Anolis sagrei: one gene and its partners. The protein of the gene in region 4 interacts with the protein of the main gene of each other region in a pairwise test. Links are inferred from orthologs where the notes say so. Each region holds a gene or a part of one and is shown on either strand. Other genes may lie near its edges.

Evidence for each region.
Region 1: the proteins of RINT1 (region 4) and RIBC1 interact in binary tests that used the Homo sapiens proteins (3 or more experiments, as listed by UniProt). The two-hybrid records come from large-scale screens. The link is inferred for Anolis sagrei from reciprocal best matches to the Homo sapiens genes RINT1 and RIBC1.
Region 2: the proteins of RINT1 (region 4) and DCX interact in binary tests that used the Homo sapiens proteins (3 or more experiments, as listed by UniProt). The two-hybrid records come from large-scale screens. The link is inferred for Anolis sagrei from reciprocal best matches to the Homo sapiens genes RINT1 and DCX.
Region 3: the proteins of RINT1 (region 4) and SFR1 interact in binary tests that used the Homo sapiens proteins (3 or more experiments, as listed by UniProt). The two-hybrid records come from large-scale screens. The link is inferred for Anolis sagrei from reciprocal best matches to the Homo sapiens genes RINT1 and SFR1.

What each region holds. Positions count from the first base shown.
Region 1 is NC_090022.1:175,069,049-175,076,077, forward strand, and holds the start of RIBC1 (RIB43A-like with coiled-coils protein 1), read left to right. Parts: upstream 1-4,013; 5' UTR 4,014-4,158; intron 4,159-7,029. Other genes in the region: SMC1A (structural maintenance of chromosomes protein 1A), read right to left, coding at 603-791, 3,626-3,734.
Region 2 is NC_090030.1:18,943,267-18,950,728, reverse strand, and holds the start of DCX (neuronal migration protein doublecortin), read left to right. Parts: upstream 1-4,456; 5' UTR 4,457-5,083; intron 5,084-5,484; exon of another isoform or gene 5,485-5,509; intron 5,510-6,069; exon of another isoform or gene 6,070-6,162; intron 6,163-6,348; exon of another isoform or gene 6,349-6,480; intron 6,481-6,615; 5' UTR 6,616-6,642; coding exon 6,643-7,006; intron 7,007-7,462. UniProt on the Homo sapiens protein: Microtubule-associated protein required for initial steps of neuronal dispersion and cortex lamination during cerebral cortex development. May act by competing with the putative neuronal protein kinase DCLK1 in binding to a target protein.
Region 3 is NC_090023.1:213,235,213-213,242,417, forward strand, and holds the start of SFR1 (swi5-dependent recombination DNA repair protein 1 homolog), read right to left. Parts: upstream 3,004-7,205; 5' UTR 2,902-3,003; intron 2,694-2,901; exon of another isoform or gene 2,492-2,693; intron 2,439-2,491; exon of another isoform or gene 2,188-2,438; intron 1,644-2,187; 5' UTR 1,602-1,643; coding exon 1,512-1,601; intron 1-1,511. UniProt on the Homo sapiens protein: Component of the SWI5-SFR1 complex, a complex required for double-strand break repair via homologous recombination. Acts as a transcriptional modulator for ESR1.
Region 4 is NC_090025.1:83,924,659-83,931,587, reverse strand, and holds the start of RINT1 (RAD50-interacting protein 1), read left to right. Parts: upstream 1-3,913; 5' UTR 3,914-4,029; exon of another isoform or gene 4,030-4,037; intron 4,038-6,765; 5' UTR 6,766-6,789; coding exon 6,790-6,837; intron 6,838-6,929. UniProt on the Homo sapiens protein: Involved in regulation of membrane traffic between the Golgi and the endoplasmic reticulum (ER); the function is proposed to depend on its association in the NRZ complex which is believed to play a role in SNARE assembly at the ER.

The DNA of each region.
Region 1 (7,029 bases), on a different chromosome or scaffold from region 4:
CTAGAACATGGCCATATAGCCCGAAAAAACCCACAAGAACTGAAAGACTTCAGACTTGATTAAAATTATAGCTACATGCACATTTGTAATGGAATTGTTGCTGTGTGTTTTCAAGTTGTTTCTAAATTATTGCAACACTATCCATGCATTTTCTTGGCAAGATTCTTCAGGGGGAGAGGGTTGGCTTTGCCCTCCTCCGAGGCTAAGACACTGGCTTTTCCAGATGAGCCAGCAGGTTTCCATGACCAAGTAGGTAGTCAAACCCTGGTCTCCAGAGTCATAGCCCAACACTCAAACTACAATACTGTGCTGGCTCTCGCCCATGTGCACATTTGCAACAGAATAAGGCTCAGAAAACACAGTGGGAACCACTTCTGAGTATACATCCAGAAGATTTGGCTCCCCCCAGATATTCCATATATTTGTTTAAGGCTAAAAAAAAAAAAACCCCATCATTCTCTTAGCAACATACACTTTGAGTAACTCAACATGTGGTTCTGATCTGCAACTAGCAACATATCCTACAGCTCCCCACATAACCCCCTCTTGAATCCCAAATATGAAGTCTGCTAAGATTTTCCCATTTTGTCCACAAAGCTTACCAACAATGACCCTTGCAAAGGTGCGATCTTCAACATTTTCTTCAGAATAGACCATGCTGACAAATGCCCGGTTGGCAGCTGGCTTTCCCACAGGAGCCCCATGGATCAAGTCCCTTAAGGTCTTCACTCTCAAATTACTGGTCTTCTCACCAAGCACAAAGCTGATAGCATCCATGAGGTTTGATTTCCCTGGTTAGATACAGCAAAGACAGAACAAATTGAAACCATGTTATCAATATTATGTTGATGTTTTCATTGTCACAGTTTCTTAGTCTCAAGATTTTAGCAACGAATAATAAAGACTCCGAATTATTACTGAAGAAGGTAAAGGAAGCAAATGCAAATGTTAGTTTACAGTTGAACATAAGAAAACAAAAATAATGACCACAGATAACCTTCATAACTTTAAAGTTAGACAAACTGATTGATTGAATTATTTTCTTTGTTTTTAAATGTTCAAGGAGCTCCATTGGCTGCTGTTTATTTTCCAAGCCCAATTTAAGGTGCAGGTGCTTACCTACACAGCCCTAAATGGTTTGGGACCATCCTACCTACGTGACCGCATCTCTGTTTATGAACCTACACGTTCTCTTCGTTCATCCGGAGAGGCCCTGCTCACGATCCCACCTGCGTCGCAGGCATGTCTGGTGGGGACGCGAGACAGGGCCTTTTCTGTGGTAGCCCCCTGACTCTGGAACTCCCTCCCTAAAGATATCAGACAGGCCCCTACCTTGGTAGTCTTTAGGAAGAACTTGAAGACCTGGCTGTTCCGATGTGCCTTTCCAGAATAGGAAAACTCCAGTAACATGTCCCAGAAGCACTTTATTAGAGTTTAAGATTGCCCGCACACTGCACTTACCCTAAAATCTGATATACCACCTGCCACATCAGCCTGTACTCATTTTAACCTGTACCCATTACATTGGCCCGGCCCTGTTTTCTTGTGTTTTGGTATATTGTTTTATTGTTTTGTTGTTTGATATTGCTTTAATTGCTTTGATTTGTTTTAAGTTGTGTATTTTGTTATGCTATGTTTTTATTGAGGCCTTTGCCTGTGTAAGCCACATCGAGTCCTTCGGGAGATGCTAGTGAGGTACAAATAAAATTAATAATAATAATAATAATAATAATAATAATAATGTAATGTATTGCATATGTATGTTGTAAACCGCTCCGAGCCTTCAGGGAGTGGTGGTATATAAATTCGATTAATAAAATAAATAAATTAAAAATTAAAAAAACACTGAAATAGTTCTATACTTTGCCTCACTCATTAAACAGAACGCGCTGCAGTCAAGAAATCAGAAGAAGACGAAGGCCCCTTCTATACTGCCAAATAAAATCCAGATTATCTGCTTTGAATTGGATTATATGGCAGGGTAGACTCAGGTCCCTTCCAGGATCGGATCCCACGTTTTCTGCTTTGAACTGAATTATACGAGTCTGTGAAGCCGAGCACCCCCCCCCCCCCCAGAATGGGGGATGGTGACTTGTAGCCCTGCAAAGGGCAAGCGCACCAGACTGCACAGTAAGGGGTTAAGTCTTGGTCACATTGCCAAGGCACTGACAACAACAAGGACCCCACGAGGCTTTTGGGAAACGGCTGGATCTTGGGACTTCTGCCCTTCGTGAGAGTCGTAGTTTCCCAAGGACCAAAGTGTGAATCAGTTGCAGCACAGCTGGGGTTTCATCTGCTAGCCTTCCCAATGATCATGGACTCTCTGCCTGCATGTCTTGGACTTCAGTACATACTATCTCCCTCATGAACTTTCCTCAAAGACCTTTTAAAACATTGGACTTCAGGCTTCTTCATGAAAATTAATCCTCTTATTAAATATATTTGGGATGTGGGACAAAGATGGGGTTTTGTTGCTATGAAATGCTTATGATTTGAATGTATGTATCTTGCTATGAAATACCTTTTGCCCCCTTTACCCTTGCCCAAAAAAAGGCGACCAGGAAAAACCACTCAGTGCCTGAGGGGGCTGTTGTTCCCTCGAAACCAACCTTATCACAGACATTTGCATGTACAATAGCAACTGGAAATTCTTTGTTTATTTTTTTCTGAGTTGGCCTGGTAAACAGGGAATTTCTCTGATCACATTTTAATTTAATCACAAAGGGGCGAGACTGGCCCCAGGGGTCTTCTTGCCCTGCTCTGTTTGTTTCATCCAAAAACCTATCAAAACCAACACACCTTATCTGATCCTGGAAGGGGAAAACCTGAATCAAATGATTATCCCTAATCACTGATCCATCACAAGAACAAAAAAACTGGTTTCCTTGGCTGGCTGATCCCTCGGGCAAAGGACAGTGGAATGTCATCATCCTCTCTGGACACAATGCCCCTCTTCCGTCCTGCCTCCCTCTCCCTGATTTGCTAAGGAGCCGAAGAGGGAGGGAGTTTTGAAACTTTCAAATCTGTATTTTGCTATAAATATGCCTCTGATCAATGTATTGGTATGCTTGCATGTGAATGATCACTGCAATTGCATCCGCTTCAGCTGAATCGCTAATAAACCTCGGTGCCACTTCTTCACCTTGGCAAGAGTCTCATTTCAATTATTAATATCAATAAAATTGCTGGAATCAGGCTTCTTCTGACGGCTCGCCAAGGACAAGGGACTCTCTTTGGTGCAGTCCTAGGAGTCTCTTCTACCGGGGAGACTCTCCCAAATTCAGGCTCAATATCATCTGCACTGCCAGATAATCTGGGATAAACAGAAAGCCTGGAATAAAGGGCCTGCCTGGAAGGACCCTCAGTCTACAGGTACTGAGTAGTGTGACTGAGCATTTGACTCTTAGGCCCCTTCTACACAGCTGTTTAAAATCCATATTATCTGCTTTGAACTGGATTATACAAGTCCACACTGCCCTATAATCCAGTTCAAATAAGATAATCTGGATTTCAAATGGATGTGGTAGGACCCTGGGTTATCTGGACATGCTCCCTACTCTACCCTTCCCTGAAATGCCATGCGATTCGGTGTTGTGTCCTTAGATCCCGGGGAGGCCCGCCTTACCGGATCCATTGGGCCCGATGATGGCCGTGAAGCTCTGGAAGGGCCCGATGATTTGCCGCCCTTTGTACGATTTGAAATTCTCGATCTCGATCAGCTTGAGGAACCCCATTCCGCGGGTTGGGGAAACGGGGGGGAGATAGAAAAGGTGGACGCAAAGCAAAACTACGGGGCGCGGTGGGGGACACAAGGCCCCGTAGGCCCCTCTTGATTACTACTCTCGGCCGCCGTCCACGAGAAGGGCGGGAGTCTTGAAACCTCGCGAGAGTTGATTACGGCTCACTTTAGGCTCCGCCTCTTACGACATCGCGGTCGCTGATAGGATGCCGCTGCCGCGTAAAATTTGCATTCGGAGCTCCTCCCCTTTTCCGCCTCAGCTCAGCAGGGGACCTCCTTCCTGCGGCAAGCTCCGCCTACTCCGAACTTCTCACTGTGCTGATAGGTTCGAGCGCAGCCAATGAGCCCTTTCCAAAGATGACATCATTTAAAGTGGCTCGTTGTCACAGCAACCAGAAAGCAAGCGCCGTCTAGGAAAGGTGAGCATCAGGCGAGTCGGGTCGTGCAGAGGAAGGGGCCTCTGATCAGGTTGCCTACACTTTATGGCACTACAAAGCCCAGCAGCCCTGGCCTGTTGAGAGATGCTGGGAGTCTCAGTCCAGAGGCGGAATTATAGCATCTTATTAACTGCCATGGCTCAATAATATAATATATTGTATATACATATAATAATGATAATATTATAATGTAATACAATATAATACTACTAATAATATGATAATTATATATTTTATATTAAATGTAATATTACTAATATTACAGTATAATGTTATAGTACAATGTTATATATATATAATGTAATGTTTGTTTGTGGGATTAACAGAACTCAAAACCCACTGGATGAATTGACACAAAATTTGGACACAAGACACCTAACAACCCAATGTATGTCCCTCACTCAAAAACATGATTTTGTCATTTGGGAGTTGTAGTTGCTGGGATTTATAGTTCACCTACACTCAAAGAGCTTTCTGAACCCCACCAATGATGGAATTGAACCAAACTTGGCACACAGAACTCCCATGACCAACAGAAAATACTGGAAGGGTTTGGTGGGCAGTGTCCTTTGGTTTTGGAGTTGTAATTCACCTACATCCAGAGATCACTGTGAACTCAAACAGTGATGGATCTGGACCAAACTTTGTGAATTATGACCAGGAATGTTTTGACGATGTGGCTGTGTAAGTGTGATGATGACGGTGTTGTATTGTAATATGTTTTTAATTGTGTAATGATAATACATTGTGTGGTTTGTATTTTTGTATACGAACACATGTTGTGAACCGGATCTGAGTCCCTCTTGGAGATGAGAAGATCGGTATAGAAAACTTTTAAATAAATAAATAAACTTTACATGAATACTCAATATGCCCAATTAGGGAAAATAGAATCTTAACATTTGGGAGTTGTAGTTGCTGGTATTTATAGTTCACCTACAGTCAAAGAGCATTCTGAACCCCACCAACGATAGAATTGGGCCAAACCTCCCACACAGAACCCTCATGTGGGCCACAGCAACACTTGGCAGGGGACGGCTAGTAATATTAATATTGTGCTATGGTAATAATATAATATAATGTATTTATTTTTTGCTTGTAAGCCGCTCTGAGTCCCCTTCGGGGTGAGAAGGGCGGCGTATAAATGTCGTGAATAAATAAATAAATAAATGCTATGGGATTCTGGGATTTGTAGTTTTGTGAGATACTTCCCCTTCCCTTCCACACAGTCATATAATCAAGAATATCAGGGCAGATAATCTACAGTATCTGCTTTGAACTGGATTATCTGAGTTCACACGGCCATATAATCCAGTTCAATGTGGATTTCATACAGCTGTGTGGAAGGGGTCAGAGGGCTCTGGTGCCACAACAAGAAACGAATCCCAGGATTCAATAGAATGGAGCCATGGCAGTTAAAGTGACTCATCACATTGTGGATAGTCACTGAGGCCCCTTTTACGCTGCCATATAATCCAGATTATCTGATCTGAACTGGATTGTTTGATTAGGTACCAAAATATGTTTCTTTTAACACAGAGGATTATGAGCCATGTAAATTAGTTTTTGAGAAACAAATAGATGCTTTGAAGGAAATCCTCCCTCCAAGGAATAAGGGTATATTTTTGCAGATACTACTTATGTGGTGCTTATAATGTCTGAAGCTCTAGATTCCATCTAGGAGTAGGGAGAAATACGAGGGTTGAATTAAAAGTAATGCCTCCACCTTCGAAACTCTTCAACAGATGGCAGTACTGGTATGCGGCAGGTACTGGCTTGTTCAGTAGACTCTCCTCTACAGTTCCATTTTGGCGGGAAGCCTTAGCATTGAATGGTTGTGTTGTTAAAGTGCAAAGTATGGAACCCTGTGCAGATGGTCGGTCAATGCGACTTAAGCAACGTGCAGTCATTGAATTCTTGACAGCAGAAGGTGTCACCCCAAAGGAGATTAATCAGAGAATGCAAGCTGTTTATGGTGGTTGTGTTGATGTGAGTACTGTGCATCATTGGGCGAGTGAGTTTAAAGATTTTGAGGTGGGAACATCTGACTTGCGTGACAAACAAAGAGTTGGACGTCCTGTGACAGCAAGCAAAAGGTTGACAGATTGATTAAGGACAATCGTCGTATCACTCAGAGAGAAATCTCAAGCATAATCGGCATTTCACAAGAACGTGTGGGTCACATTATTGCTTTGCTTGGCTATCGGAAGATCTGTGCAGGATGGGTCTCGGAAACAAAGTGTCGACTTCTTCCATGATGGCTTCAGAAAAATTGTTCATTGTTGGCAGAAATGTATCCAATGGTCTGGTGATTATGTGGAAAAGTGAATAGTGGTAGCTAAAGAGCACATTCTAAGGATTATTTCTGCATTTGATTTATTAAAATATTCCCATCCAAACCCAAGTAACAAAGGTGGAGGCATTACTTTTCATTCAACCCTCATATATATATATTATATAATGATGAGTCTACACTGCCATGTAATCCAGTTCAAAGCAGATAATCTGGATTTTATATGGCAGTGTAGAAGGGGCCATAATATAAGGCTGATTACCCTTTAATTGGAATTCTGAAATTCAAAATGCTCCAATTGATAATGTGCTATTTCATGAACAACATTTATTTTAAAATATAATGCACTCAGTTATTTTCAAGCACTAGACATATAAGATGCATGTGAAAAATCACTAAATGTTTATGGATGGTTTCAGGTGGCCCATCTCTGTGGTGTGACTTTAAAAGTATTTTGCTTGAGACTCTGGACAACTACAAGCATTTAGTATAGTAAACATTAAAATAGATTAGTATACATACAGTCCTTGAGTTACGGACAAGATAAATTCTGTAGGTTT
Region 2 (7,462 bases), on a different chromosome or scaffold from region 4:
GACGTTTAGCCCAATTCTATCATTGGTGGAGTTCAGAATGCCCTTTGATTGTAGGTGAATTATAAATCCCAGAAACTGCAACTCCCAAATGTCAAGGTCTATTTTCCCCAGACTCCACATTTGGGCATATTGAGTATCCATCCAAGTTTGGTCCAGAGCTCTCATTGTTTGAGCCTACATTGCTCTCTGGATGTAGGTGAACTACAACTCCAAAACTCAAGGTCAACGCCCACCAAAGTTTTCCAGTATTTTCTGTTTGTTGTGGGAGTTTTGTGTGCTAAGTTTGCTTCAATTCCATTGCTGGTGGATTTCATAATGCTCTTTGATAGTAGTTGAACTATAAATCCCAGCAACTACAACTCCCAAATGACAAAATCAATTCCCTCCCCAATCCAAATAAATTTTGGGTGCATTGGGTGTTTGTGCCAAATTTGGTCCAGTGAATGAAAATACATCCTTCCCAGAATAAGGACTCCCAAGCAATATGTCCCAAATGCACTTTATGAGAGATTTAGAACCTATCTCTAAAATAGCCATCCTATTTCCCTTGGACATGCCCAGCATTTTTAAATTTTAAGCCTTACATTTGGCCCTGCCACAGGTTTTTAAATGCATCGTGTCATTATTGTATTGTTTTGCTTTGTTATGAGTTATTTATTGTTGTATTGTTGTTGTTATGTTTTATTATGTATTTTGGGCTCGGCCTCTTGTAAGCCGCACCGAGTCCTGTGGGAGATGCTGTCGGGGTATAAATAAAGGATTATTATTATTATTATTATTATTATTATTATTATTATTATCCTGTATGTCAGATATTTACATTACGATTCATAACAGTAGCAAAATTACAGTTATGAAGTAGCAAAGAAAATAATTTTATGGTTGGGGGTCACCACAACATGAGGAAAGGTATTAAGGAGTCACGGCATTAGGAAGATTGAGAACCACTGCTGTAAGACAACCTAGGTCATTCACATAGATGGATAGTAAGGATAACACATTAAGTCTAAACTGTACCACTAATGCAGTTTGACTCCACTACTCCTGCCATGGCTCAATGCTTTGAAATCCTGGGAGATGTAGTTTAGTGAGATAGCAACATTTTTTGGCAGAGAAGGCTAAAGATCCTGCAAAACTGCAGTGCCCAGCACTAAAGAGCATTGAACCACAATGGTTAAAGTAATGTCAAACTGAAATAACTCTGTGTTTTCGAAGTCTTTCATGGTCGGAATCACTGGGTTGCTGGGAGTTTTTTGAGCTGTATGACCATGTTCCAGAAGCATTTTCTCCTGACGTTTCACCCACACCTATGGCAGGAATCCTCTGAGGTTGTGAGGATGCCTCAAAAACCTCACAATCTCTGAGGATGCCTGGCATGGATGTGAGTGAAACGTCAGGAGAAAATGCTTCTGGAACATGGTCATACAGCACAGAAAACTCATAGCAACCCTGTAATAACTCTGCCACGTAGATGCATTTTAAGACTACCATGTATTGTTTCTGTCTCCCATGAAATTTAACCAGTGGTCATTTACAATTACCAGCTCTCTCTGTGCAGACCCCACCCCCTAAATAAAGGGGGGAAAACGGCTCTCTCTTTACTCAAATATAATTGCTCAGGGAAAAAGAGCGTCTCTTTGCTACTGCTCGGAGGATAGAGCGCTTCCTTCATTTAGGCCAGGTAATTGAATCCAAGGAGCTATATTTAACATACCTCTTTATCTAAATGAATTTATTGATGGGGAGGAAAATGGATGCGCTGCCAGAGACTCTGTTGCTGACCGTGTCGGAAATGATTAAGTTGATGGCTTCACAAAAGCTGCTTGGCTCCCTGTACCTCCCCATCGTCCACCCGCACAGCCGGCAGAAAAGGATGTAATCAAGGGGAGCCACATCTCCAAGGGTGGCTGGTAGCATCCCAGAAAGCATCAGACAGGAGTTGGTCCAGCTAGGGATTTTGTATCCACCCAATCCTGGTCAACCCTAGGACGAATGTACTTGCTTATTCAGGTTGAACACTGGGATGAACAGCCAAGCTAAGAGGGGATGCAGCAGTTTGTTTTTGCCAGAGTCTCCTGGGAAGGGAGGCCTGTTAGCGATAATCATAGCATTGTAGACTCATAAAGTTGGAAGAGACTTCTAGGGTCATCCAATCTAACCCCCTTCTGCCAGTAAAGCAGTGGTTCCCCAACCATTTTTTTTAACCAGGGTCCACTTTGACAAGAGGCCACTTGACCAGGGACCACATTCCAACATTAGTACCAAAAGGGTTATGAATCAATGTATTGTCGAAGGCTTTCATGGCTGGAATCACTGGGTAGTTGTAGGTTTTTTCAGGCTATATGGCCATGTTCTAGAGGCATTCTCTCCTGATGTTTCGCCTGCATCTATGGCAAGCATCCTCAGAGGCAGTGAGGTCTGTTGGAACTAGGAAAATGGGTTTATATATCTGTGGAAAGACCAGGGTGGGACAAAGGACTCTTGTCTGCTGGAGCTAGGTGTGAATGTTTCAACTGACCACCTTGATTAGCATTTGATAGCCTGGAAGTGCCTGGAGAAATCTTTTGTTGAGAGGTGATTAGATGTCCCTGATTGTTTTCCCTCTGGAAAATCTGGCTACCTGTTTTAAAAAACTCTAAAATTAAAACAGCAAAACAGCAGATCAATATAATAACAATTAAAACAATATGTAAAACATTCATTAAACCAGTAAAAAAACAGTATTAATAGCCATCTGCTCACCCACAGAAAACCATATTTAATTAGTCTCAGCACTATAAGGGGTTTTTGTGAGACCAGCTGCATTCATTGCAATGGTGTAGTAATGGTGAGTCTGCAAACCTATTTTAGTTCTTGGGGACCACTGGTGGTCTACACACCACAGATTAGAAACCACTGCTCACTCACAGAAAACCGTATTTAATAAGCCTCAGCACTGTAAGAGGATTGTGCGAGACCAGTCGCATTTGTTGAAATTCGTCCATGGACCATATTTTAGTTCTTACTGACCACTGGTGGTCCACAGGCCACAGATTGGAAACCACTGCTCGCTCACAGCAAACCATATTTAATAAGCCTCAGCATTATAAGAGGATTTTGCGAGACCAGTTGCATTCATTGAAATTTGTCCACGGACCATATTTTAGTTCTTATGGACCACTGGTGGTCCACAGACCACAGATTGGAAACCACTGCTCACTCACAGAAAACCATATTAATAAGCCTCAGCACTATAAGAGGATTTTGTGAGACCAGTCGCATTAAAATTCGTCCACGGACCATATTTTAGTTCTTGCGGACCACTGGTGGTCCGTGGAGCACAGGTTGGGAACCAATGCATTAAAGAATACAGAATCCGAACACTCCTGGCAGAATCTATCTAGGCTCCAGAGAAGTGGACTCCACCAGACTCCAAATCATCAGTGGATTTCACTATCAAAAGCTCTGACTGCATGATTTTTTCCCACTTTTGTTTGGATGGAATCTCTTTTTTTTTGCAATTTAAAGCTATTGCTCTGTATCGTAGTCTCTGAAGCGATGGAGAACACATCTTCCATGTGACCTTCTTGTGTTAAAACAGGTAATGGCCAACTTGGGCCCTCCAGGTGTTTTGGACTTCAACTCCCACCATTCTTAACAGCTTCAGCCCCATACTTTCGCTCCTCAGCGGCTTAAGCTGAGGCGGCTGAGGGGGGAAGGGAAAGGAAAGGGCCTGAGGCTGTTAGGAATGGTGGGAGTTGAAGTCCAAAACACTTGGAGGACCCAAGTTGGCCTATGACTGTTTTAACACAAGAAGGTCCCACGTGTTAGCCTTTTAACACAAGGCTATCATGTCCCTTGTTCATGAGATTCATGAGGTCACGAAGAGTCAGAAGCAACTGAACGAATGAACAACAACAAATCATGTCCCTTCTTTGCTATTTCTTCTCCAATCTAAACATACTCAATTCTCTAATTCCTGGTTCCCAGACCTTTGACCTTTTTGGACAGCCTCCAGTTTGCCCATCTCCTTCTTGAATTATGGAGCCCAGACCTGGATGCAATATTCAAGGTGGCCTAATCAGAATAAAGTGGTATTATTCCTTTCCTTGATTTGGAAACTATCCTCCTATCGATGCAGCCTAGGTTATGATAATACACACACTATGCATTTACTTCATCTTCACTGTTATTATTTATTTTATTTTAATTTATTTATTTGAATTGTGGTGAAGTGATCAGCAACAACCAATGCTCTGTCCTCCAGATGTGACTGGACTTCAGTCTCCGCTGTCCCTCATCGAGGGCTCTGTGGCCTAGGGCTGATGGGTGCTGCAGTCCGAACACAACTGGCGGCCGCTGCTGCTCTGAAGACTGGTGCTGCTGTTGGCAAGGAGCCCAGACCGTTGCTCTCGCTGGGGATTGGCGTTGGCTGGTGATGTCATGCATCTGCAGAGCCATAAACTTGGGGTCCTTGGCGAAAGCCAGCAAACTGTCTCATCTCCGTATGTTGGGGATGACAGTCCGGTTTGTTGTGTGAGCACAAACCAGAGAGGACCAGGCGACATCACAACTTGCTCACCCTCTTCTTTGATTTGCATTGTCCGCAAGAAAGCTGTGATTTGGGCCGGAGTCAAGAATCGAACTTTCTCCACTTGCCACACCTTCACAGACTGAGTGACCATGCAGTGGCACCAGCTTTTTCTAGCTGGCACTGGAGAATCATGATGGTAACGCTCTTGGAAAATTTGGGAATAAAACAGTGAACAATGCCCCCCGAACTGGAGCTCAGTCACCTCTCTGCGGCCATTTGAGGAGCCCCAATCCAAAGGGGTGCTGCACCTCTTGAAAATCTAGAGTGAGAGTGCCTTCCAATGGCAATCCACCCTGACGGCAAAGCTCGCTGAGGCCAGATCACCCTTTGCAGAAGGGGCCCTGGGTGTGTGTGTGTGTCAGTGTGTGTCTGCACACACAAGGCACTAGGACCTAGGAGGAGTCCCGGCAAATCTGGCAGGAATTTCTTGCTTGGAGCTCAGACAACAAAGGCAGAGTGTGGCTGGCTTTCTCTCTCTCAGCATCTCCACCCTGCAAGAGCTGAAAACCGGTAAGTATTCCTTGGAAGCCTTTCCAGGCAGAGAAAGCAGCAGAGATGGGATGCCAAAGGCAGGGGAAGGAAAGAGAGAGTCAGGCTGGAGATGAAGGAGGTCCACGCCCCATCCAAAGCTCTGGCTTTTCAAAGTTGCATTGAGCTCCCATTGTTTCCAGTGTGATGTTTAGAGAGCAGCGAAGTAGTGCTGGGTTTGGGTGGGGATGATTTTTTTGGCAACTCTGGTGAAGGAAAAGCAATGGGAAGCTCCCTTCCCTGCATGACAGGAGTGAAGGTCAGGGACAGGTCACCGTGACTCCTCGAAAAGGAAGGCAGAGACTCTGGCAGAAGGCAAGCAACAGCTTTTCTCAGGATTTGTACCTGATCACCCAGCCTTGAGGTTTTTAATCCCATTTCAGCTGTGCGAAGCTGCGATGAGCAGATGTGAGTTGCATGCTAATAGCCTTGGACAGCCAAGAGTGATCGGGCTCATAGGTTTCGTGGGATCCCTTTGGAGGGGCTGGGATCCTTTGCATCTCCAGCTCATACCTGAGATGATCCCTGTCACTCCCCTTTTCCACACTATTCGCACACTGAACTAAGGCGCTTTCCCAATTCCACTAAGCGTGCGCTCAGAGCAGTGAACAATGAAAGGTGCTCTTGCGGTGGCGTGATGAGACTGCATCTGTCAGACACCTTCAGCAATTAAAATACACTTCATTAACAGGAAAAGGAAGGGTGCAGGGAGAAGTAACCATATTCTCCAATTGAATGACATCTGGTGTCAATATCATTTCATATCAACTCACCCACTGCTCTTGAATACGGTCCCCGCCCCATACTTTTTGTCTGAATTTCTAGGATTTCAAGGGTTTTCATAGGGAGTGGTGACTCTGGAGATGTGAGTAAGTGAGATGTGACTGCTCTTCTGGCTTTCAGACACTCACAAAGGATACAGCATTGTTGCCGTATCTCTGTCCAGCCATCAGCCATTCCAGTTTGATTCTCATTTGAAAGGTCCCTTTGGCTCAGGCTGTCTCTCCATCAGCATCTGGATAGGTTTGATACCCGAGCACAGGTTCTCAAGTCTTTGGAAGGTGGGATTCCTCTCTTCATTGTTGGTTCTATCCATCTACCGCTGAAGGGAAGTTTTGCATCAAAACTGCGGGGAACTTCATTCAGTTCAAACTGTTTGTAGCTGGCATGCATCCTGAAGTGACGCCCACAAACCTCTCCATCACATTCTCCTATTATTAGAAACCCAGGGTTGAGCCAGAGATAGAAATCCTTTGGTTCCAGGTTGTGTATCATTCAGTCAATTGTGTTGTTGAGATAGGACCCTCCCATTCCCTGTGCCTTACTCCCAAAAATACACAGAGGAGGGGGAAGTCCTTTGTGGCATCAATCCAAGCAAAGTAAGACATTGGGCAAGGCTTCGTTTTATTGGAAAGCACAAAGTTTAGCTTGAAGATCTGCTGTTAACAGTGTTTTCCTCTTTCTAGCTGACTATATTTTGTTTCCTTTGCACTCTTTCCTCCTCCACCTCCCAGCTTCACAACTTCAGGGCTCACCGAGCTATGGAACTTGATTTTGGACACTTTGACGAAAGAGACAAGGCGTCCAGAAACATGCGAGGCTCCCGGATGAACGGCCTGCCGAGCCCCACTCACAGTGCCCACTGCAGCTTCTACCGCACCCGGACCTTACAAGCCCTGAGCAACGAGAAGAAAGCCAAGAAGGTGCGCTTCTATCGCAATGGGGACCGCTACTTCAAGGGCATTGTGTACGCCGTCTCTGGAGACCGTTTCCGGAGCTTCGACGCCTTGCTTGCCGACCTGACCCGGTCCCTGTCCGATAACATTAACCTGCCTCAGGGAGTGCGCTACATTTACACCATCGATGGCAACAGGAAGATTGGGAGCATGGATGAGCTGGAGGAAGGTAATGAGCTGCAAGCGATGCTGGTGCATGGAGGGTGGAGAACACTGCAAGCCTTGATGCTTCACGCATTATGAGCTGAGCATGCCTCAGGTTAGGGTGCATGAATGTCAGTGGAGGGTATACTATACCCATTGATTCACCTCCCACAGCATTAGAGTTCATTCATAAATTGGAGTTTCTTATATTCTTGATTCATCTAGATAAGGGAAGTTGGGAATATGAACAATGGACCTCAGAGGAAGATTTAGATTAAATCTTTATGGAAAATATCAGAGACCGGATGTGGGATTTCCTGCAAATAAATCATGTGGGTTGTTGTGAATTTTCCGGGCTGTATGGCCATGTTCCAGAAGCATTATCTCCTGGCATTTTGCCTGCATCTATGGCAGGCATCCTCAGAGGTTGTGAGGTCTGCTGGAAACTAGGAAAATGGGGTTTATATATCTGTGGAATGTC
Region 3 (7,205 bases), on a different chromosome or scaffold from region 4:
AAGGATTTGAAAACAAACCAGTGATGACATTGAAAATGGTACACAGTCTCAAACCACTATGCAGGTATCTCCTGTAATACATGTTGCAGAGCGCAATAGCAATTTACATGTTGTGGCTTCAAGTCATCTTGAAGCTGCGTTATACAATGTTACTGACAGCCTGGGAGCTGGAGATGAGGAGCACTTCATTGCCACTGAAGCCAGGACAGGACTGTGAGCACAGGAGCGCTAGCAGCCACAACAGCATCAAGGGATGCGTGGGGGGGGGGGGGGGGTTATCATTTTTGCTTATTTGCAAATAAGTTCCACTGTGCCTTCCCAGAATAAGGAAACTCCCAACAATATGTCCCTAAATGCACTTTAGTAGTGATCTAGGATTGTCTGCACGCTCTATCCCTCTCCAAAATTTTTATCTTGTTTATTGTCACCTTGTCACGGCCAGCATTATTTTTTAAATTTTTAATTAGTACATTTGACCCTGCCATAGGTTTTTAAACGTCGTTGTGTTATTGTTAATATTTATTGCTATTTTCTGTTTATGAGTTTTATTTATTGTTTTTATTACTGTTGCTATTGTTCCAATGTTGTATTGTGGGCTTGGCCTCATGTAAGCCGCACCGAGTCCCTTGGGGAGATGGTAACAGGGTACAAATAAAGTATTATTATTATTATTATTATTATTAAACCACCCCTCTCCCTGCTCTGAGCAACCCAACAGGGAGGGCACAGTGTGGAGACTGTGGTACAGGCGACCGTTCTTGGGAGTGACACGATGTGTTCAGCACAGGCTGTCACAGTGGCCATCCTTTTGGTGTCACCTCCACCACAGGCCTCTACACTGCCCTAGTGACAACACTGCACCTAGGCAGTCAAACAGTTCAAAAACAATGCTGCGATTAACCAGAATATAAATCAAACCAGGTTTTTGATTTGGGGTTGTTGTTTTTTTTGTCAATTTGCGGGGACATAACTCAAGTATATATAGGAACTAAATAAATTGCAAGTGGAGTGAAGGAATCCCTTAGCAAATTAATTATAATTGTTACTTTCAATACTGGAGAAACCAATTAGTTACACATAGATCTGTTATAGGCATATGTACTATACTGTGGAGTTATGTTTGTCAGTATAGCCAAGGTTTGCACAATTCTACATAAAATCAGGCTTCACAACAATTTGGAAATACAGTAGATTCAGTTAACCAGAACTCTTGAAGCAACTGGCAAAAAACCCACAGAGAAATAATATTTTAAATTTAAAAGGCTTTTATAATGCAGCAAAACTGTAAAACTATTACATTAAATGGTTTGCCTTTATTTGCTTTTAATTATATATTTTAATATTAATATCAAGCCAATAGTGTTTATGGTACAGAAAGAAGTCGAATATTCTTAATAGAAACTCCCAAAAAACCAAAAACTACCTTTATCCAGCATCTCTCAATCCCCATGAGTGCCGGTTAACTGAATCTCCTGTGCTAACAAGAGAACTGGAAATATTAGGCAACATACCTGTTTCTCTGAGGAGCTGCTGCTTTTCAGACCACTACTTTCTGGAGTGGAGCATAGTGATGTAGGTTCATTTAACACAGTTGTTTCCATTGTGAGAACTGACTAATGGTTTGCTGTGAGTTGACTAATGTACTGGAGAGAGAGAAAAAATCAAGGTTTACATGTGGGCATGTTTTAAAGCCATGGATGGTTGAATCTCTGGGCACAGAAACCATGAATATCGACCAATGAGCATAATAATGGTGATGAAAAAGCCAAAACCAAGGTTACCACATCTGTTACTAGAACTCCAGTATGCTGATGACAATGTCGTCTGTGCGCATTCAGAAGATCTACAAGCCACTCTAAACACCTTTGCAGAAGCATACGAGAAGCTCGGCCTGTCACTGAACATTGAGAAAACCAAAGTGCTGTTCCGCAATCACCGTCCAATCCCTCTCCAATGCCAGAGATACAGCTTAATGGTGTAACATTAGAAAATGTTGACCATTTCCGCTACCTTGGCAGCCACCTCTCCACCAAAGTCAACATCGACGCCGAAATACAACACCGCCTGAGCTCTGTGGGTGCAGCATTTTTCCGAATGAATCAGAGAGTGTTTGAGGACCGGGACATCTGTAGGGATACCAAGGTGTGTGTTTATAAAAGCTATTGTTCTCCCAACACTGCTATACACCTGCGAAACGTGGACTGTCTACAGACGTCACATGCAACTCCTGGAACGATTCCATCAGCGCTGCCTCCGGAAAATTCTGCAAATTTCTTGGGAAGACAAGCGGACAAACGTCAGAATGCTGGAAGAAGCAAAGACCACCAGTATTGAAGCGATGGTCCTCCGCCATCAGCTCCGGTGGACCAGCCACGTTGTCCGGATGCCTGACCACCGCCTCCCAAAGCAGTTGCTCTACTCCGAACTCAAGAACGGAAAACTGAATGTTGGTGGACAGGAAAAGAGATTTAAAGATGGGCTCAAAGCCAACCTTAAAAACTCTGGCATAGACACTGAGAATTGGGAAGCCCTGGCCCTTGACCGCTCCAGCTGGAGGTCAGCTGTGACCAGCAGTGCTGCAGAATTTGAAGAGGCACGAATAGAGATTCTATAGCATTGAGCCGTGGCAGTTTGAAGTGGTAACAAACTGCATTAATTCTACAGTGTTGATCAGACCTGGCCAAGCTTCGGCCCTTCAGGTGTTTTGGACTTCAACTCCCACAATTCCTAACAGCCTACCGGCTGTTAGGAATTGTGGGAGTTGAAGTCCAAAACACCTGAAGGGCCGAAGCTTGGCCAGGCGTGATGTAGATGCACCCCAAGGCCTTCTGTCGTACTACAATGTCCATTAGCCGTGAACCAAAGGGTCCCTCGTTCCTTTCCTCCGTCTCTTCTTATTACCTCAGAAGCCAAATCTCTCCCAAACTCCCGCCGCCGGGGAAGCCGACCGAAATCTCTTCTCGCGATCTTTCAACGCGGATCGGTGTGCGCCTGCGCAGTGCGATCTGAAAAGGGCGGGGGAGGGAAAGGAGGCTGGAAGAAGAGATGTCTATACTGTAAGGCAGGCCTGGGCGAACTTGGGCCCTCCCTCCAGGTGTTCTGGACTTCAACTCCCACAATTCCTAGCAGCCTCAGGCCCCTTTCCTCCCCCCCCCCCCCAGCCGCTTTTCTATCTATCTATCTACCTATCTATCTAAATATATCAGGTATGGGCAAACTTTTTGGCCAACATAAACTTTTGCCATACAGGAAAAGCGTAATCAAAACTCCCCCAACAGATGGCCACCCAGTCTCAATAATAATAATATTAATGATGATGATAATAATAATAATAGAAGCAACCCCAGGGGCCATCTAGTCCAACCCTCTTCTGCCATGCAGGGAAAGCACAATCAAAGCACCCTCAACAGATGGCCACCCAGCCTTCTCAATATTATTATTATTGTTATTAATAATAATAATAATAATAATAATAATAGAAGCAACCGCAGGGGCCATCTAGTTCAACCCCCTTCTGCCATAGAAGAAAAGCACAATCAAAGCACACACACACACACACACCCCATAGCTGGCCACCCAGCCTTTGTAATCATAATTATCATCATTGTAATAATAGTACACCCACATAATAATAATAATAATAATAATAATAATAATAATAATAATAATAGAAGCAATCCCAGGGCATTGTAGTCCAAGCCCCTTCTGCCATGCAGGGAAATCACAATCAAAGCACCCCCAACAGATAGCCACCCAGCCTTTATGATAACAACAACAACAACAACAACAATAGAAGCAACCCCAGGGGCCATCTAGTACAACCCCCTTCTGCCATGGAAGAAAAGCACAATCAAAGCACCCCCCCCCCCCCAATAGATGGCCACCCAGTCTTTGTAATCATAATTATCATCATTGTAATAATAGTACATCCACTCAATAATAATAATAATAATAATAATAATAGAAGCAACCCCAGGGCAATCTAGTCTAAGCCCCTTCTGCCATGCAGGGAAATCACAATCAAAGCACCCCCAACAGATGGCCACCCAGCCTCAATAATAATAATAATAATAATAATAATAATAGAAGCAACCCCAGGGGCCATCTAGTTCAACCTCCTTCTGCCGTGCAGGAAAAGCACAATCAAAGCACCCCCCAATAGATGTCCACCCAGCCTTTGTTATCATAATTATCATCATTGTAATAAGAGTACACCCAGACTCAATGATAATAATAATAATAATAATGATAATAATAGAAGCAATCCCGGGGCCATATAGTCCAACCCCCTTCTGCCATGCAGGAAAGCACAATCAAAGCACCCCCAACAGATGGCCACCCAACCTCAATAATAATAATAATAATAATAATAATAATAGAAGCAGCCCCAGGAGACCATCTAGTTCAATCCCTTTCTGCCATGGAAGAAAAGCACAAAGCACCCCCAACAGATGGCTACTAGGCCTGGGTAACAACGGAAAAATTTGTTTCTAAAATCGATTTGTATTTGGGGGCTTTTTTGTTTCGATATTTAAAATAATTACAAAATTTTCCTTTTAAAAAGTTTGATATTTACGAAATTTCGTAAATGTGAAAAAAATTACAAAACATTAACGAATCGATTTCCGAATCAATAACGAATCGATTCGTTAATGGCGGACGCGACCGCGAAATACGCTAAAAAACCTCCAAAAACTTCTGAAGCTTCCCTCTCCCTCTGTTGTTGACTGTTGGTGTGATATTATAATTTTTTTTCACTAATTAAACAAAAAACTTGCCCCAGACATGCGGAAATAATAACGAAACGACCTCAGAACAATAACGAAACGAACACAATAACAAAATACGAAGCATTTACAAAACGTGTTTAAAAATTCGTTTTTTTAAAAAATTGCTCCAGAATGGTTCGTTATCGTTTTGTAATTGGAAAAATTAACGAATTATTAACGAATTATGAATTAACGAAACGAAACCGCCCAGCCCTAATGGCTACTCAACCTCAATAATAATAATAATAATAATAATAATAATAATAATAATAGGGGTCATTCAGTCTAACCTCCTGCCATGCAGGAAACGCACAATCAAATAATTCCCCGAGGGATGGTCATTCAGGCTTTGTAACAACAATAACAGCAGCAGAAACCCAAGGGGCCATTGCAGAGTCCCTCGGCATGCTTCATGGAGCCCCAAGGAGCATGCTTTAAGAACCACTGAATTAAAGGTACATAAACAGCAAGGCTGTAGGTTTCCCTTTGTATCAGGGCTTTGTGATTCTTCTGCAGAAGGTGGCACAAAGGAGTCTTTGCAGCTTTCATTGATGATAGGCTTCAGTGCAAAAGTCTTTATAAAAAAAATGGCAGGAGGATGAGGATTTTGCAACTTAGAAGAAATCATAAAGATATACAACAACCTATAAAGATATATTCAAGGTGGAATAACAGATATGACTAGAATAAGTTCTTCAATGTGACAAGTTAACATTCCTACTCACTGTAAACCTTTCCTGGTTGCTTTAGCAAAAAACACAGATTCTTTGCAGGGTTGGGGTTCCTGAGGCCTTATAGGTGTCGGAGTGCAAGTCCCATCATCCCTGAATGCTTGGAAATTATGGCACCTGAGTCCAACAACAACTTTCCCATGTTTCACATAAACTGCTTTTCAGCCATTCAGAGCTAATCAAGATGGCCAATTGCTACATTCAAACCTACCTGAAACAGACAAGAGTTCTTTCTCCCACCCTGGACATTCCACAGATATATAAACCCCACTTGCCTATTTTCCAACAGACCTCACAACCTCTGAGGATGCCTGCCATAGATGTGGGTGAAACATCAGGAGAGAATGCTTCTGGAACATGGACATACAGCCTGGAAAACCTACAACACCCCAATGATTTCGGCCATGAAAGCCTACAACAATACATTCCCCATGTTTAGTTTATAAATATGACCAATACAGCCTGGACATTTCACCTCTGACATGTTTGAACATTTGTCTTTTTAATCTATTTAAAGAGCCAAACGTAAGTACTAGATGGAAGCTATTGTATATGATGCTTCTTCTTCATCATATGTAGCTACTTAATAAAGCCAGCCCTACTGTTAAGCAAAGTAAGGCTGCTACTTCATTTAGCAAAGATAACGTACAATAAGAACTGAATAAGCATAGCACCATCCATCCTCCCCCCCCCCCTGTAAGAATATTGTGCCAGCACTTCTCAAGGGAGATAGAATCTATTCTGTCATCCCCAAGGCTGCTCTAAGGGTGCATCTACACTCCAGAATTAATGCACTTTGACACCACTTAAACTGTCATACCTCCATGCAATGGAATCATGGGAGGTGTCTTTTGATGAATTAATAGCACTCTTTGGCAAAGAAGAATAAAGAACACTTTATATCATTTGCCATATATTAACCAAAAAAGGAAACAGAAATTGAGAGAAATGGCAACGTTCCCAGCATTGTTGACATTACCGACTGTGGAGACAGAAGACTGATGCAGTAAAAATAGCCATTATTTATGCTTCCAACTTTTCAGGGATCTGCCAGCAGAAGTTACAAGTACAAGCCAAAGTACTTTTAAAACGTATGTTCTGGTACGAGCATTTGGATGAGTTTGTTTGTACTTTGTTGGGGAATGAAAGAGTTAACAACTACCATGTCAGGCTACACAGAGAAGCCATTGAAATCCACAAACATGTGGACAATATCAACAGAAAGGAAGAAACCATGAAAATGAACAAAATCTGGCTACTAGTATTAAAAAACACTAAAATTGTAACAGTAAATAAAAAACAACACTCAGAGGAACTCCAGACAAGAAACAATCAGGGACAGCTAATAACCCCTAAACAAAGGATTCCCCCAGGCAGTAATACACCTAGAAAACTGTCAGGCCATCAAATGCTAATCAAGGTGGCCAATTAAAACATTCCCATCTAGCTCCAACAGACAAGAGTTCTTTCTCCCACCCGGGACTTTCCACAGATATATAAACCCAATTTTTCTAGTTTTCAACAGACCTCACAACCTCTGAGGGTGCCTGCCATAGATGCTGGTGAAACATCAGGAGATAATACTTCTAGAACATGGCCATACAGCCCGAAAAACCTATAACAACTCAATGAAAGAGTTAATCTTCCCCCACACACTTTCTATACACAGCTGCTATTTCAAAAGGAAAAAAATGCAAAGGCAAAT
Region 4 (6,929 bases):
AGAAATCACTTTTAATAGCCCCCCCCCCCCCCCTCAATTGAGGAATGGACAGCGAAAGTAATAGAATATATGAATACGCAACTACTTAAAGACCATAACCAACTGGCTACCACTGAAAATTTACCTGCAAGAGAAGATGAAATTATAAAAATTCGGAAAAAGAATGGGGAAAAAAAGAAAAGAAAAAAACCCCGAAATAACAAAAATAGCGGACTATCCACAAAAATATTATTTGGGAAATATTATCTCTCTGTGGCATGGACTGGAAGTCCCTTAACCCCCCTATTTTTCTCTATTCACCCCACTCCTTCCCTACTTCCCCTCCCCCGTTCCATCCCCTTCCCACTCTAGTCCAACCCCTCACTAGTAACCCTCCTCTCTATCTAATTTCCTACTTTCTTTCACTCCGGTTTTGTTCCCCTGCTTTCACTGTTATTATGAAAAGATGGCAAATAAAAATGATAAAATCAGAAATCACTATTAATAGGCTTTGTGTTCCAGCTAAACACCAACCTTTATCTCTGTAAAATGATCACATTGCACACATTCATAAATGACACAGGTACACGTTTCTGTCTTTATGGAAAGCTCACATGCCACAATACAGGATTTTTGAGGCATCTTGTTCTGTATGTATAAAAGGAAAGCTTCCAAGACTTAAACAAGGGATATCCTTTATAAGAGGCATCAAGTAAGAGACATCTGGACATCAAGTAAGAGACATCCCATAGGGACACCAGGCAAATGAATATGCTATTGAAGCCAATGGGACGACTTCACTATTGTGTGTTTTGTTTGCCAGGGGAGTTGTTTTTGCATATGTGCTGTAGCATCTTTTTGATTTTTTAGCTTTTTAAGACCCTCCGCTGTGTTTTTCAGTGTTTTTATTAGTGATGGTCACTTGTTGGCCTGATAGGTGTATTGTGTCCAAATTTTGTGTCAATTCGTCCAGTGTTTTTTGAGTTATGTTAATCCCACAAGCTAACATTAGATTTTTATTTATATAGAAGATGTGGAAGGGGCCAAAAATAATCCAAATCAGATAGTGTGGATTTTCTGCTTTGATAAAGTGGATTGTCTGGCAGTGTAGAATGGGTTTGAGCCTGCCACTTTTGGACTCTCGCTTGCTGAGGTGTTCCAGCGAGTGTCTCTGTAGATCTAAGAAAACTATGTCTTGATTTAAGTCAACGTGCTGGCTGATACCCAAACGGGGGATGAGCTGAAGGGGTCTCTGCCTTGGTCCTTTCACTATTGGCTGCTACTTCCCGGCGGATGTCAGGTGGTGCAATAAGCAGTGTAATGTCTCCAGTGGTGTAGGGCGCAGACACCCCGTGATAATGCGGCATGTCTCATTAAGAGCCACATCCACTGTTTTAGTATGGTGAGATGTGTTCCACACTGGGCATGCATACTCAGCAGCAGAGTAGCATAGTGTAAGGGCAGATGTCTTCACTGTGTCTGGTTGTGATCCCCAGGTTGTGCCAGTCAGCTTTTGTATGATATTGTTTCTGTTGTTGTTGTTCATTCGTTCAGTCGTCTCCGACTCTTCATGATCTCATGGACCAGCCCACGCCAGAGCTCCCTGTCGGCCGTTACCACCCCCAGCTCCCTCAAGGTCAGTCCAGTCACTTCAAGGATGCCATCCATCCATCTTGCCCTTGGTCGGCCCCTCTTCCTTTTGCCTTCCACTTTCCCCAGCATAATTGTCTTCTCTAGGCTTTCCTGTCTCCTCATGATGTGGCCAAAGTACTTCAACTTTGTCTCTAGTATCTTTCCCTCCAGTGAGCAGTCGGGCTTTATTTCCTGGAGGATGGACTGGTTGGATCTTCTCGCAATCCAAGGCACTCTCAGAACTTTCCTCCAACACCACAGTTCAAAAGCATCGATCTTCCTTCGCTCAGCCTTCCCTAAGGTCCAGCTCTCACATCCGTAGGTTACTACAGGGAATACCATGGCTTTGACTAGGCGGATCTTTGTTGCCAGTCTGATGTCTCTACTCTTTACTATTTTATCGAGATTGGACATTGCTCTCCTCCCAAGAAGTAAGCGTCTTCTGATTTCCTGGCTACAGTCTGCATCTGCAGTAATCTTTGCACCTAGAAATACAAAGTCTGTCACGGCCTCCACGGTTTCTCCCTCTATTTTCCAGTTGTCAATCATTCTTGTTGCCATAATCTTGGTTTTTTTGACGTTTAGCTGCAACCCGGCTTTTGCGCTTTCTTCTTTCGCCTTGATGAGAAGGCTCCTCAGCTCCTCCTCGCTTTCGGCCATCAGAGTGGTGTCATCTGCATATCTGAGATATTGTTTCTAGCACCCACTTTTTGCTTGATGTTCAGGCAGTGCTTCTTGTAGGTCAGAGCACGGTCCAGAGTGACTCCAAGGTATTTGGGTGTGCTGCAATGCTCCAGTGGGATTCCTTCCCAGGTGATCCTCAGAGCTCGGGATGCTTGTTTCAAAGCAGATAATGTAGATTTTATACAGAAAGGACCTCGAAGAGGTGTGAGGATTCGTGACCTAAGCCAAGCCTTATTCCTACTTGAACAGGCCCAGTCCTGTTCAACATCTTTATTAATGACTTAGATGAAGGGTTAAAAGGCATGATCATCAAATTTGCAGACGACACCAAATTGGGAGGGATAGCCATTGCCAATACTCCAGAGGACAGGAGCAGGATTCAAAACTATCTTGACAGATTAGAGCGATGGGCCAAAACTAACTAAATGAAGTTCAACAGTGACAAATGCAAAATACTCCACTTTGGCAGGAAAAACGAAATGCAAAGATACAGAATGGGGGACAATAATGCCTGGCTCGAGAGCAGTACGTGTGAAAAAGATCTTGGAGTCCTCGTGGATAACAAGTTAAACATGAGCCAATAATGTGATGTGGCGGCAAAAAAAGCCAATGGGATTTTGGCCTGCATCAATAGGAGCATAGTGTCTAGATCTAGGGAAGTAATGCTACCCTTCTATTCCGCTTTGGTTAGACCACACCAGGAATATTGTGTCCAATTCTGGGCACCACAATTCAAGAGAGATATTGACAAGCTGGAATGTGTCCAGAGGAGGGCGACTAAAATGATCAAGGGTCTGGAGAACAAGCCCTATGAGGAGTGGCTTAAGGAGCTGGGCATGTTTAGCCTGAAGAAGAGAAGGCTGAGAGGAGATATGATAGCCATGTATAAATATGTGAGAGGAAGCCACAGGGAGGAGGGAGCAAGCTTGTTTTCTGCTTCCCTGGAGACTAGGATGAGAAACAATGGCTTCAAACTACAAGGACATGAGGAAGAACTTCCTGACTGTGAGCCATTCAGCAGTGGAACTCTCTGCCCCGGAGTGTGGTGGAGGCTCCTTCTTTGGAAGCTTTTAAACAGAGGCTGGATGGCCATCTGTCAGGGATGATTTGAGTGCAATATTCCTGCTTCTTGGCAGGGGGTTGGACTGGATGGCCCATGAGATCTCTTCCAACTCTTTGATTCTATGATAACCCACTTCAAAGCAGATTTTGTGGGATTTTCTGCCCTGGCATTCTGGGTCCACACTGCCATACAATCCAGTTCAAATCAGATAATGTAGAATTTATACAGAAGGGACCTCGAAGGGGTGTGAGTATTCCTGACCTAAGCCAAGCCTTATGAAATTGCCACAACACACAACTTGGAGGCACATGTAACTTGCTAGCCAACCACAAGTTCGCTATGCTGGGTTTCCTCCCACTTACCTCGCCCCCTTTTGTAATGTTATGGACTGTCGTCACTTCCGCCGCAGGAGGAAAATGGCTCCGAAACCCAAGCCGGAAGTTGAGTGCTGGCTGTTCCACCCTCCCTCGGCCAGGCAGGGACGCAGCTGCGGTGGCCACGTGACCCTTGGAGCGAGGGGACGGGCCTGTTCGAGCACGCGCCCCTCTCCGCTCTCGCGTTGCTGCTCGCTTAGAAGGAGGGCGGGCTGCCGGGTTTGGCAGAGTTTGCTGCTGACGCGTCGCTGTTAGGGGCGGGGCAAGCGAAGGGGCGTGGCTTAAACCTGGAGGCCGGTGAGTGGGTAGGTGGACGCCTCGCGCGCGCCTCGTTCTCCTCAAAATTGGGGGGGGGGGGGGAGTGGTTGCTAAGGGATTACTCCATGGGGGGGGGTTGTTACCTGGCAACGGCCAAACTTGGGAGGAAATATGGCCACTCCGCCTCAGGACTGTCCTGCTTTCAGTTGCTCTCAACCAGGGCTGAGTTGCATTCTTCCATTTAGGATTACACCTCCCTTGACTAATTTCTTCTATTCCAAAGGAGCCCTTGGACTGTATTTAAGCCCCCTTGCCCATAACATTGGCAGGCAACTGGTTCTTTGGCCTGCTTGTAGAGGAATTGCTTTCCCCACGCCATTTATTATGAAACTAGCCGTCCCCTGCCACGCGTTGCTGTGGCTCAGTCTGGTGATCTGGAAAATAAAGTAATGAGAAAATGTTGGCTTCTAATCTATGTAATTTCTTGATGCTTGTGAGTAAACAGTATTTATTGCTGTTTCTTTGTCAATGTAGATGTGAAGATTGTCTGGTTTGCCTATTCTGGAATATGCAACATATAATTGTGCTTCTTTAGGGGTCCCTTTCAAATCTATGATACTATATCTCTCTTTGTATCAATCTTATATATCTATCTATATCTGTAGCTGGATGGCTCTTTGTCAGGAGGGTTTTGATTACATTTTCTTGCTCTGGTGAAGGGAGTTGGACTGGATGGCCTTAAGTATTTTCTGCCCCAATTCTGTCGTTGGTGGGGTTTATTTTTTTAAAAAATTTGTATTCCGCTCTTCTCAGCCCTTAGGCGACTCAGAGCGGTTCACAACAATTTACGTATACACAATACAAAATCATTAAGTATTTAAAAGCAATAGCTCCACAAATCATTAAACATCATTAAACATCAATATCAATACATCACTACATCAATATAACAAATCCATCAGGTCTCATCAATGAAATCAGAATCCAAACTCGTTATCCGATATTCCGTGTTCCGATAGTCAGTCAATCAATCACACTATTTAGTCGAATGCCTGTTCAAACAGCCAGGTCTTTACTTTCCTCCGGAATGCCAGCAAGGAGGGGGTCGATTTAATATCTGCAGGAAGGGCGTTCCACAGCCGAGGGGCCACCACTGAGAAGGCTCTGTCTCTCGTCCCCGCCAGGCGTGCTTGTGAAGCCGGCGGGATCGAGAGCAGGGCCTCCCCAGACGATCTTAATGTCCTAACTGGTTCAAAGGAGGAGACGCGTTCGGACAGGTAGGTCGGGCCAGAACCGTTTAGGGTTTTAAAGGCTAAAGCCAGCACTTTGAATTCTTCCCGGTAGCAAATTGGCAGCCAGTGGAGCTGGCGCAGCAGTGGAGTGGTATGCTCCCTGAGTGCCGCTCCTGTTAGCATCCTGGCTGCCGATCGTAGGACCATTTGAAGCTTCCGAGCAGTCTTCAAAGGCAACCCCACGTAGAAAGCGTTGCAGTAGTCTAAATGGGATGTGACTAGAGCATGGACTACCGTGGCCAAGTCAGGCTTCCCAAGGTGCGGGCGCAGCTGGCGCACTAGTTTTAACTGTGCAAATGCTCCCCTGGTCACTGCTGAAGCCTGAATCCAAGATCCAAGATCACACCCAAGCTGCGAACCTGCGTCTTCAGGGGGAGTGCGACCCCGTCCAACACAGGCTGTAACCCTATACCCTGTTCGGCCTTGCGACTGACCAGGAGTACCTCTGTCTTGTCTGGATTCAATTTCAATTTGTTCGCCCTCATCCAGACCATCGCAGCAGCCAAGCACCGGTTCAGAACCTGAACAGCCTCCTTAGTAGTAGATGGAAAGGAGTGACAGAGTTGGACATCATCTGCGTACAGATGACATCGTATCCCGAAACTCCGGGTTCAGAATGTTCTTTGATTGTAGGTGAACTATAAATCCCAGTAACTGCAACTTCCAAATGTCAAAGTCTAATTCCCCCAAACTCTATCTGTGTTCATATTTGGGCATATGGAATATTTGTGCCAAATTTGGTCCAGATCCATCATTGTTTTGAGTCCACAATGCTATCTGGATGTAGGTGAACTACAACTCCCAAACTCAAGGTCAATGCCCACCAAACCCTTCTAGTGTTTTCTGTTGGTCAGGGGAGTTCTGTGTGCCACATTTGGTTCAAGTCCATCATTGGTGGAGTTCTGAATTCTCTTTGATTGTAGGTGAACTATAAATCCCAGCAACTACAACTCCCAAATGACAAAAACAGTTTTTTTGAGTGATGGTTATTTATTTACCGTGTCAGCTCAACCAGTCGATTATATTACATTTCTAACAGAACAAAGCAAACAAACAGACAGAATACAAAATTTGTGAGTTTTGTAGTTGATTAAATGTCCTTTGACCAGTAGCTGGCCACTTGGAGTGCCTCTGGTGTTGCTGCAAGAAGGTCCTCCACTGTGATGAGTGATGGGCACTCATTAGGTTAGTAGGAGTTTTGTGGCCAAATTTAGCAGCAATTCGTCCAGTGGTTTTTGAGTTATGTTAATCCCACAAACTACCATTACATTTTTATTTATATAGACTAGCCATCCCCTGCCATGCGTTGCTGTGGCCCAGTCTGTGTGTATGTGCTTTGTGTGTGTATATTTGTGTATATGTGTATATATGTGGTTTTGACCCTGTTTCAATTTTCTGGCATTGCTTTCAAGATAAAATCCTATATACATATGGTTGTGCCCAACTTTTAATTAATCAAATTGTAAATAATCTTTCATTGCAGAATATTTAATCGTGTTCTTTGGAGATGGCGCAACCATTGGTTGAAAGTGAAGAACCTTTGTTCTCTGAAGAGGTATGTGGATTTATTTGCCATTTTCTAGGCATATTTCTAATAATTGTATTCTCTTTATCTGTTTTTCACTAGTTAATTATGTCCTAAGCTTG